Arabidopsis thaliana: one gene and its partner. Each later gene encodes a partner of the first gene's protein in a complex. Links are inferred from orthologs where the notes say so. Each region holds a gene or a part of one and is shown in the gene's direction. Other genes may lie near its edges.

Evidence for each region.
Region 2: the proteins of CPA (region 1) and CPB are in contact, whole or in part, in a crystal structure (PDB 4AKR), measured with the Dictyostelium discoideum proteins. The link is inferred for Arabidopsis thaliana from one-to-one orthologs. Residues at the interface, in XP_645243.1 of Dictyostelium discoideum: Leu7, Ile10, Phe14, Asn17, Pro19, Glu22, Glu25, Val26, Asp29, Val30, Ala32, Leu33, Leu34, Tyr125, Asn127, Glu128, Tyr129, Tyr130, Pro131, Thr154, Cys155, Ile156, Tyr157, Tyr163, Ser164, Gly165, Arg166, Trp167, Val190, Asn191; in XP_647630.1 of Dictyostelium discoideum: Lys4, Gln5, Cys8, Cys9, Asp11, Leu12, Met13, Arg14, Arg15, Leu16, Pro17, Pro18, Gln20, Asn24, Gly27, Leu28, Asp30, Leu31, Val32, Ile103, Phe104, Ile106, Tyr107, Leu110, Tyr111, Phe112, Glu113, Lys136, Thr137, Gln138.

What each region holds. Positions count from the first base shown.
Region 1 is NC_003074.8:1,596,690-1,602,242, forward strand, and holds CPA (Subunits of heterodimeric actin filament capping protein Capz superfamily), read left to right. Parts: upstream 1-1,921; coding exon 1,922-2,039; intron 2,040-2,206; coding exon 2,207-2,322; intron 2,323-2,924; coding exon 2,925-3,014; intron 3,015-3,102; coding exon 3,103-3,167; intron 3,168-3,396; coding exon 3,397-3,558; intron 3,559-3,650; coding exon 3,651-3,729; intron 3,730-3,830; coding exon 3,831-3,908; intron 3,909-4,048; coding exon 4,049-4,123; intron 4,124-4,204; coding exon 4,205-4,240; intron 4,241-4,337; coding exon 4,338-4,441; coding exon of another isoform or gene 4,442-4,445; exon of another isoform or gene 4,446-4,522; coding exon 4,523-4,748; downstream 4,749-5,553. Other genes in the region: AT3G05510 (Phospholipid/glycerol acyltransferase family protein), read left to right, coding at 70-188, 287-392, 873-1,385. UniProt on the Arabidopsis thaliana protein: F-actin-capping proteins bind in a Ca(2+)-independent manner to the fast growing ends of actin filaments (barbed end) thereby blocking the exchange of subunits at these ends.
Region 2 is NC_003070.9:26,994,742-26,999,575, forward strand, and holds CPB (Subunits of heterodimeric actin filament capping protein Capz superfamily), read left to right. Parts: upstream 1-2,063; 5' UTR 2,064-2,127; coding exon 2,128-2,256; intron 2,257-2,348; coding exon 2,349-2,419; intron 2,420-2,553; coding exon 2,554-2,667; intron 2,668-2,914; coding exon 2,915-2,997; intron 2,998-3,085; coding exon 3,086-3,159; intron 3,160-3,322; coding exon 3,323-3,442; intron 3,443-3,569; coding exon 3,570-3,665; intron 3,666-3,960; coding exon 3,961-4,044; 3' UTR 4,045-4,326; downstream 4,327-4,834. Other genes in the region: AT1G71780 (WD repeat protein), read right to left, coding at 665-874, 1,514-1,897. UniProt on the Arabidopsis thaliana protein: F-actin-capping proteins bind in a Ca(2+)-independent manner to the fast growing ends of actin filaments (barbed end) thereby blocking the exchange of subunits at these ends.

The sequences.
Region 1 (5,553 bases):
TTGATTGTTACCTGCTATTTTATCTATATTCAAATTTACTGATGAAAACAAGTGTCACATCTTCTGCAGGGAATGGACATTGCGATTTCGAAATTGAACAACGGAGGGTGGGTTCACATCTTTCCAGAAGGCAGTCGCTCCCGGGATGGTGGAAAGACTATGGGCTCAGCGAAGAGGGGTATCGGAAGGTGAGTCATGTGTGATTTGGGTTCACTTCCCTTATATAAAGCACTCCACTTTAATGTGTCTTATCATTTTATTCTATAACAAGTTTTATTTGTTTTAGGTTGATTTTGGACGCAGATACTCTCCCTATGGTTGTTCCTTTTGTGCATACTGGTATGCAGGATATAATGCCAGTTGGAGCTAGTGTTCCACGGATTGGCAAGACAGTAAGTATATCTGAATCTCCAATTTTTTCTTCCTCGTTTGTAGCTTTCATTTTTGATCTCTTAATAGTTTGATGCATCATGATCTCTGCTCCGCCCAAAATCAGAAAACAAATAAAAAACCATAACTTTCAGAGAAGTAGTTAGTTGCCTCGAGTTAAAATAGTTTAAGAGTGTATTGCTTTGTTTGATTTGCAAGCCCTTGGATACAGATCTAAGACCTCTCGCAATTTTTGTTGGACTTGACTTTTTAGTGATCCGAGGAGTGAATCGGATCTCGAATTAATGATTTAAGAAAGAAAGGATCTATCGATAATTGGGTGATTCATATTTTGAGTAAGTGGATATGTATTGTCCATGGAAGGATATAGAGTTCAAATGCCAGACATTTTGTAGTGTTACTAATTGTCATTAGGTTATTACATTGCTTAATTATGTATTTGCAATCTTTAATCTGTTTGATTTACGTCAAACATTTCGCAGGTGACAGTGATCATTGGAGACCCTATTCATTTTAATGACATTCTCAGCACTGAAGGAGCCCAACACGTCTCAAGGAAACACCTGTATGACGCCGTTTCGTCCAGAATTGGACAAAGACTGTACGATTTAAAAGCACAAGTTGATAGAGTATATATAGAACAACAATCTATGATGTCACACAATGCCAAAACACCCTCGGACCGTGCTGCTGAGATCTTTCATAGAGTCGATTGGGACTCATTTGGGATGGGAGCACAATTTTCAGAAGAATCATCACCCAGTAGTAAACCGATTGGCCAAAGCGATGATCGCATTGTCAGATCTCCCAAAAGGAGAGTCTCACCCGAAGGAGGGGTCAGCTTGAAGATTAAGAAGCTCATGGACTCAACCGAGATGATGGGGTTTGCGGCTAGAGGGTTACTAATGAACGAGTACAAGAGTCGGGTTGAATCTGCCAATGTTGGTAGGCCTTTAAAGGCTTGGAGAGAGTATTTTATGAACCGTGGATTATAACTTGCAAGTTAAACTCCCGTTAGGAATATTAGTTTAGTAATGAGGTTTAAGTCCCACAGGCCACAACAAATGGACATGTTTTTACTTGTCTAATATAGATTTAGCTAGATTTTTTTTTTCGATCACACATGAACTCTTATCTATCTCGTTGTTGTTGTTGTAAATTAGCTTTTAATAAAATCCCAGTTTCTCGAACCTTTTTAATCACAGCAAATACTACATTAAAGATTAGATTTGGTGTGTTTTGCTAAAGATAATGCCTTTCATGCGCTTAAATTAATTTGAATGGGTTTCGATTGAAATTGGGATATTTGCTGCAAAAACGATGCGGTTCGAGTAAGAATGGCCACGTGGCACAATCTATCACATCAAAACGACACCGTCAGAATTCATCATGGTAAACGAACGGTCATGATTTAATCGCGATCCAACACAGGAAAGTTTATGAGTGTGCAATGACGAATGTATCCCTACAGAGTTCAGAATATCGACGGCGACAATTTCTCTCTCCGGCTAACTTTTTTCTAGAGAAAGCTATGGCGGACGAAGAAGATGAGTTACTGGAGACAGAACTAAGTTACGACCAGAAAAAGGAAATCGCCAAGTGGTTTTTCCTCAACGCTCCCGCTGGAGAAATCAATTACGTCGCTAAAGGTACTTAGATGCATCGTACATACATATTTCCGACGATTCCTCCGATGTGTCCCTCAATGAGAAGGCGAGATCATAGATTCTCCGTGTGCATTTTGTTTTGTTTTGAGCATCATGCGTGATTTGACATCTTTGTTTCGATTTCTGTAAATCTTTTGGACTTCTGACAGATTTAAAGGCGGTTTTGAGCGATGAGGAAGTGTACAATGAAGCAGCCATGGAAGCATTTCCAGTGTACAACAAAACTCACATGATTTGCCTTGAAATGCCCAGTGGAGCTGGTGATGTGAGTTAGCATCTTATTCTGGTTCTATTCTACTTAGTTGAAATTTTCATTTGTTGTGTCATAGGAGTTGAATTGTCGAACATTATTGACTTGTAATCTCTGTTATGTGGAATTAGCTATTCTCATGATCTATTAAGATTCTTAGAGAAATGTGGCTAATGAAAAGGGGAAGAGCTTTGAACAATACTTAGTGGATCACTCAGAAGGAGAGAACTCAAGTATACTTTGTGGTATTTGTCTCTCTTAGATGTATATTGCTTTCCTAGGGTTTTTGCTTCGCTAGCTGCAAAGAGGCTAGAGATTAGTCGATCTTAGAAATTAGGGATTTTAAATTCTAGTAGGAGTTCTTCAATTTCGCTGTTTGGATTGAGAATTTTTGAGCTTTGAGTGTCTTGGTCGTGTGTCTTTTTCTTTCCTAGAGAGTTTTTAAAAACTTGCGACTGATATCTACATGCAACACTCTTATGCTGACTATTGTTGATCAAATTGGCAATCAACATAAGTCCTGCATCACCTTTTCATATTTTTTGAAGATGTTATGGGAAAACTGTTTAGTGTTTATTCGCTGCGAGATATCGTAATACTGTTTTGTTGAATCTCAGGTGATTGTCTCATCTTACAGTGAAATTAATGAAAATGAGTACCTTGATCCAAGAACTGCCCAGGTTGCCATAGTTGATCATGTTAAACAGGTACATTATTTTATTGTTGTTGTTCTTCATTATGGTGTGCCATGATCTGTGAATCTAATTTAAGCTTACCTCTCCTCTCTTTGACCAGATTTGTACAAAGGTACGGCCTGCAAATGATGAAGAACTTCCTTCTTTGTATATTGAGGAGTACAGGTATGGATTTTTACACCCAGCTGTAGGATTTAAGATCAGGTTCATGCATCACCATTCAGTTCAGAATTATCATATATTCGTAGCCTAAGTTCTTATGGCAACAAAGGCAAACATTAGAAAAGCACTTTCAGAAGTTTAGGAATAAAGGGCAATGAACCTGGAGTGATCTACATTATTTTTGTCTTACTGCTGAATACATATGTTGAAAAGGTTGTTTTGCTCATTACAGATATGCTCTTGATGCTGAAATCCAGAGATATGTTAGTGAATCTTATCCGAAAGGTATGTCTGCAGTTAATTGTGTGAAAGGGAAAGATAATGAGGGTCCAGGGTCCGACTTTGAGCTTGTTGTTATAATTACTGCTATGAGACTTAGTCCCCAGAACTTCTGGTGAGTACAAAATGACCTTTTACTTATTTCTCCATTTCCATTGTTTAGAGAGAAAAAATGATTTTGAGTGACCAAACCGGGGTGTTTGGCAGTAATGGAAGTTGGAGATCTGTATGGAACATAGATTTCCAGGATGAATCCCAGGTGCTTGACATAAAAGGGAAATTGCAGGTAACATTCGCGACTTGCTTTCTCTGTAAGTTGACTGTGACGTTATTCTATGCCAATTGATGTTCAGTGAGCTTGTTTTAAGTATATCACTTTCTCTTCAGGTAGGAGCTCATTATTTTGAAGAGGGAAATGTGGAATTAGATGCAAAAAAAGATTTCCAAGATTCAACAATATTTCAGGTACCTCATTTTATCTGCGAAACTGTGTACAATAATGTAGACCACAAGCCAGGCCAGGCTAGCATATAATATACACCAAGGGAACAAATATGTGTAGGCTCTGATATAACCTTGTCGTTCATTTTTTGTTCCATTGACAGTCTGCAGATGACTGCGCGATTGCCATAGCCAATATTATCAGGCACCATGAAACAGAGTACCTTGCATCTCTAGAGGTTCCCAATTAGCAACTCATTTATCTCGTACTTTTCCATTTCATGTGTTGTTAATCTCGTTGTATCTGACCCAATCATTAGGTAGCTTATTCAAAATTACCGGATAACACTTTCAAGGTAATTGTCTCTTTCCAAATAACGATTTCAGTGGCTGCACAATGGTAACCTCGAGGTGTATTTAGAAATTTCTGAGCAGATATATGGAATTTTGCAGGATTTGAGGAGGAAACTTCCGGTGACACGAACTCTGTTCCCATGGCAGAACACTTTACAGTTCAGCCTAACAAGAGAGGTCGAGAAAGAACTTGGACTTGGCAAGTGACTAATCATCAACTCGCAACCTTTTGAGTGCTATATTTCGTTGTCAAAGTTTCTGTGATTTCCATTATGTAAGTGAAGGATAAGTATTATTTCTGTTGTGTCTTGTCTTTCCTTTGGAGTAATGTATACAAATCGCATTAGTAAGTATGATAGATATTGTTCCGCAAGCCGCATGAAAGAATTGAAGTTTGGTCCCAAAAAGAGCTCCGTTGCCGGGAATCGAACCCGGGTCTCCTGGGTGAAAGCCAGATATCCTAACCGCTGGACGACAACGGATATGTTATTGGAACTGTTAAAGAACTAAATATGTATTAAACTTTAATATGAATGATAAAGATTTCCTTAAATAATCTGTTAATAAAAAAAAAGCAAAAAAAAAAAAAGAGAGCACAATTTGAAAGGAAAGCCCAATAATAGAGGCCCATGGTGAAAGTCTTAGGCCCCGGGTGGTAATCTAATCACGTTTGTAGTGATAATCTAATCACGTTTGTTTTTAATGATAATGCGTTGTCCCCATCCTTGTTCTTAATTCAATTGTCAATCACCTCCATTAATTTTGTGTTCACCTCGGTTAGAAAGCTTTGTTTTAATTTGTTAAGACGATGCTGATATATCCTGAATCATGATTAAATTAAAATCCTTAAGTTAAAGTCATTACAAAAACCACTTTTGAATATTGATCAGATATTGGTCCCATGCCCAAAACGATGGTGCAAAATGTCTAAAGAGTGATAAGCTAGCAATTACTAGATATATACTAAAAGAAATAGTTTCAGTTCCAAGCATGAGCACTAGTCATAGTTGAGGCTCACAAATTTCTTGCAAATCATCTTCGAGTTTTCCACGTCCAGAGATGGTCTCCTTCCTCCTGATACACACACAAACAACTAAGTATCTTCCATCGTCTAAAAATAAACAAAAGCATACGTAATTACCCATTTCCTCCACCTTCTTATTTATAATCAAGTTGAACAATTTTCAAATCATCCAAGACACAATCATTTATTAAATATTGATATATGCAATGACAAAATATCCAAAAGTATTGACTTCAATGACATTCAATTTTTGCTATTTTTTTATTTTTTTGTACGAATAGTCTTCAGATC
Region 2 (4,834 bases), on another chromosome or scaffold:
ACATGAGACAGATTTTTGGTATGCCACAAGGCTAATCTATAGAATTCATGGACAATATTTTGTGGATGAGACAATTTTGATCTTTAAAAAATTCCATCATCAATAAATACAACAGTTGAAATCTATTGAACAGAGATTGCTAAGTACTCGTGATTAATAGAGTAAAATGTCAGACTCTAGTCGACTAAATATTTTCTACCACCAAAAAGTAAGTTCGATATGGGTGATGTTGTCATTCATTTTAGATATTTCTGAAACACTATCTGACATATGTACGAAACTGAGCATGTCATGCGTTACAAGACTAAATTTTCATATTATCAGGGAGGAATGTAGAGATTAAATATGGACAGGCTTGTTGCCAAACTATTGGGTTTTAGAAAATAAGTATCAGTTTCCATCAAAATGGCAAAAACCAAATCGCATTACACATGGAAATGCATAAAACTATAAACTTCAACAAAATGCAAATGAAGAAAATGATTGCTCTCTCTTAGTTCTGAAAGCAAGCAATTTGGCGCCTCAAGGCGTATCAAAGACGAAGAGTCTTGCCAAGGAAGGGAACTTGTTGGGTTAAGGCAAGAGAACCTCTATATATATGGTCGATGAAAGACTACAAATTTCGACCACATTTTAAGCGAGACGAGTGTTAGGGTCTGCGAAACTACCAGCCATACTTCTTGAAGAAGTCCCTGGTTCTCTTTCTAGCTCGAGTGAAAACTATAACTATGCATGCGAGCACCCATGGAGGAAAGGTCCCAATGGAGATGTTGTTCTTGATCCAAGCTGGAGGGTCTTTCAATAGAAATGTTATTAAGAGCGTAACAATCACAACTCCGAGAATGATTCTGGTGATGGGTTTGAGCAGGGAATCCTGAAAACAAAAGGTGTTCAAATTAATAGTGTTATCAGATGAATCACCCAATTAAAGCTGCATGTTTTAATGCTTTTTTTTTCTGTTCTTGCAACAATATTATCCAAAGACTTTTTACGCCCCAACGAAGTCAGAATACCATGACATCCATTCTAGTTTCTACATGCGTATTCTAAATCTATGAGCCATAGGAGTGATTCCAAGAAATTGTTTACTTTAAGTAAGAATACAAGCTTTGACCTAAACCTAAGGTTCCATGAGACACCGAATCCACGTTAATTGATATTCCAGGGCAATTGAAGAGTAAAGAAGCCTAGAAAGTCTAGAGACATGTATGAGGTTTATGAGCACAATCAAAAGAAAACCATCAACTTATCTAAATGCAGAACGCCAATGTAGAGTAATTCTACAATCCAAGGGTATGAAGAACATGTAAAGGAGACAAGAAGCAGATTGGGTCCTATCCTATTCCTTAATCATGCGTTCAGAGAAGGTCCAACAGATGCAATGCAACAATATTCACCGTGAGTTTATTCATTCAAGCATCAGTAGGGAACTATAACTAAGCTAAGGAGATCGTTCTCTGTCCTTTTTTCCTATTGCGTAAGTGAAAACTCAAAATCAAAACAATCAGATTACCTGAGGTTCACCGTCGATGTAAATGACGGCACCATCCCTATAAGGCAACACAGACCGACCATTCCTAGGGTGAAATCTGATCGGAACAGCACGACCTTTCTCAACGTTGAAAGCGAAGATTGCTTTCAAGCCATATTTCTCAAGAATAGATCGAACCTCGAGCTGATCCTGCTCATAACCGCCGAGATTTGACTTGAACACATCGATCGGACCTTTTCCACACTTATACAGATGAATCTCCACCTCAGGAACCTTCGCCGCCGCGGTCGTCGATCTCAATTCACTTTCCGGTTGAGAATTTTCGAGCAACGGAGTAGTCTCTTCAATCTCTTGATGTGGTGGTGGTGGATCTCTCTCCTTCTCCTTCTCCGTCATCGATGACATGACTAACAATTCACCGTCCGATGGAAAAAAAGATTTATAATCCCAGGAAAGCAAAAAATAAATATTCTGTTCATAACGACGTCGCTTAGTAAAAGGCCTCGTAATGTTTGGGCCTTATGATGGGCCTAAAGGGTATAATAGACAATAAGAGATTGGTTATTCGGTTGTTACCTTTTAGTTCGTCTTCTCAGAGGAGAAGTGTTTTTTTTCTCCGGCGAGGTTGGAAAAAAATGGAGGCAGCTTTGGGACTTCTCCGGAGAATGCCGCCGAAGCAGTCGGAGACGGCTCTATCTGCTCTTCTAAGCCTCATTCCTCAACATTCTTCCGATCTTCTCTCTCAAGTCGATCTCCCTCTTCAGGTATTTTCTATCTTTATCGAGATTTGAAAATGTGATTTTGTTGCCTTAGTCGTGCTTATCTCCCAATGTTTGGTTTGGTGATGTAATGACAGGTGTTACGTGATATTGAAAGTGGGAAAGATTTCATCTTGTGTGAGTATAATAGAGATGCAGATTCCTACAGGTACTTTTTTGCTCTATTTCATTGTGTAGAGAGAAAATTCAAAATATTGGATCGCTTTGGTTTGGGATGATACAGTACTTCGTGTTCATAGCTAAATTGCTATTTGTTGGTTCTTGTAATCTTTACTTTTGCAGGTCACCTTGGTCAAATAAGTATCTTCCTCCGCTAGAGGATGCTCTTTACCCATCTTCTGAATTAAGAAAGCTTGAAGTTGAAGCCAACGATATCTTTGCGATCTATCGTGACCAGTGAGGTTCTTTACCTACCTCGTTCAACATGAAAACCATGTAGTGAAAGTAATTTGAGTTATCTAAGACGGAGACATAGTTAGCATCTGATCTGAAAAAAAGGCTTGCCTAGTCGTGAGATTTATCTCATGGTTTAACAATATATGATATGTGTTTCATTCTTCTAATGTATCCATTAGACTGGAGACTGAAAAAAGCTTGCAAAGTTACCAAAAGAACACCTGTGTTGATCAGTTTTCTTTTCCAGGTATTATGAAGGTGGTATATCTTCAGTCTACATGTGGGAGGATGATAATGAAGGCTTTGTGGCATGTTTCCTTATCAAGAAAGGTACATTCTTTCTGTAGAGTTCAATAACACTGAATGTTAGGCAATAAAAACTCTTTACCTGAGCTGTTCTGGTTTTTATTTTTCGAAGATGGGTCAAAGTCAGGTCATGGTCGGAGGGGATGCCTGGAGGAAGGAGCGTGGGATGCCATACATGTTATACAGGTGACTCTCTTAACATACCATTACCAAGCGTGCCTTATGTGTTTTAAAATGTTGCCCATTTTGTAACACATACCACCCTCAATTGCAACTTTATCATAGTTTCCTAAGCAGCTCTTTAATGAGACTTCATATTTTGCTTCTAATGCCTGAGGTTCTCAACTAGGTTGGTTCAGAGGAGGAGGAAATGGCACAATATTGCTTAACAAGTACCATCATGCTTTCTCTGACAACTGATGATGAGTCTTCGGGCAAATTCGGCTTATCTGGATCAATTAGAAGACAAGTAAGTATTAGCTTCTATTTAGCCCATGCCTTCATAGATAAATAGTTCCTGGTATGAATTGTGATTCAATGGAGGAAAACCAAATATCTGTAAAAGAATAACATTATTCTGCTACTGTTGAAATTAGATGAAAATGGAGCTAGCAGTAGCTGACGGACACCTGTGCAATATGGGGAGAATGATTGAAGAATTGGAAGGCAAACTGAGGAACTCACTTGATCAGGTTCTACCTCCAATCCCTGCACCAATTCCACAAACTCCGTCTACTTGTGTAACCGCCATATATGCTGAAAATGGTTTCTTAATTACCGGCATTCGGATTGCTTAGTTAGTTAAAGCTCATGCTACAGTTGTTCTGTGGTGCTTGGCAGACCCCAAAATAAGTAAACGAGAATTGTAGGATAAGTTTTAGATCAAATCACTTTCTAACATCTCATGAATTAATCTAGACCAAGAGAAAAGAATAACGTAATGTGCGTAGCTTCAAGGGTTTGAGAATTGTTTGGTGAAAAGCGCAGGTTTACTTTGGGAAGACAAGAGAAATGGTTTGCACATTGCGTCCACCAGCTGAGATTGTACAAATGAGATTGCCTGACACCTGACCTGATGCTCCTCCGATCACGCTTTATGTAAGAAGGTCTCGATATTTGTTTGTTTTGGTTGGTCTGATCTTAAACGCTTCTCCGAGTGTTTTGTGTGGATGTCTCTTACTCCCATGTTTTTCTCTGACTTCACCATCATGTGACCATCTTTTCCCATAAATATAACGAATGATGCAGTTTTAAAAGTCGTATAAATATTATGGAAATGCTTGGTTTTCTCCAAAAGTATAGAATAGCAGAATCAGTGGTGGCTGCGACATGTTGTGAACTTAGGACCTAAAGCATCAAACCTCATTTAGTGATATCGCACTGCCTTCGACATGCATACCGAATGGACAAAGAAAGTAAGAATCCTTGATGTAATCGCCATATGAGTCCGTTTAGCGCCTAGGTGCCATCTAGACGGTCAGTAACTAATAACAACCTAATCAATAACTATACAAATATTTTTGTCCAACATATAAAAAAAGATATTAAAATAAATTTCCTTTTAACCAAAATATCAGTTTCCTTTTTCGGCTTTCTTTTTTTTATTCTTGTTGTAGAGAGAGATATAAATAAATATCGACGACGACGGTACTAATCGTTTTGCTAAATAATTTCATTCGTCTTCTCTTCTTAACTCTTTAAAACCAAAAACTGAAAAATAAAGACAAAAAGTCTCCTATCGACGACGAATACGAAAGATCTCTCTCTTCAGAAGAATTTAACGAAACTCAACTGTTTCGAATTCGATTTGAATCTCGACCCGTTACTTAGCAGGAAGAAGATGAAGCAGCGCTTCACCTTC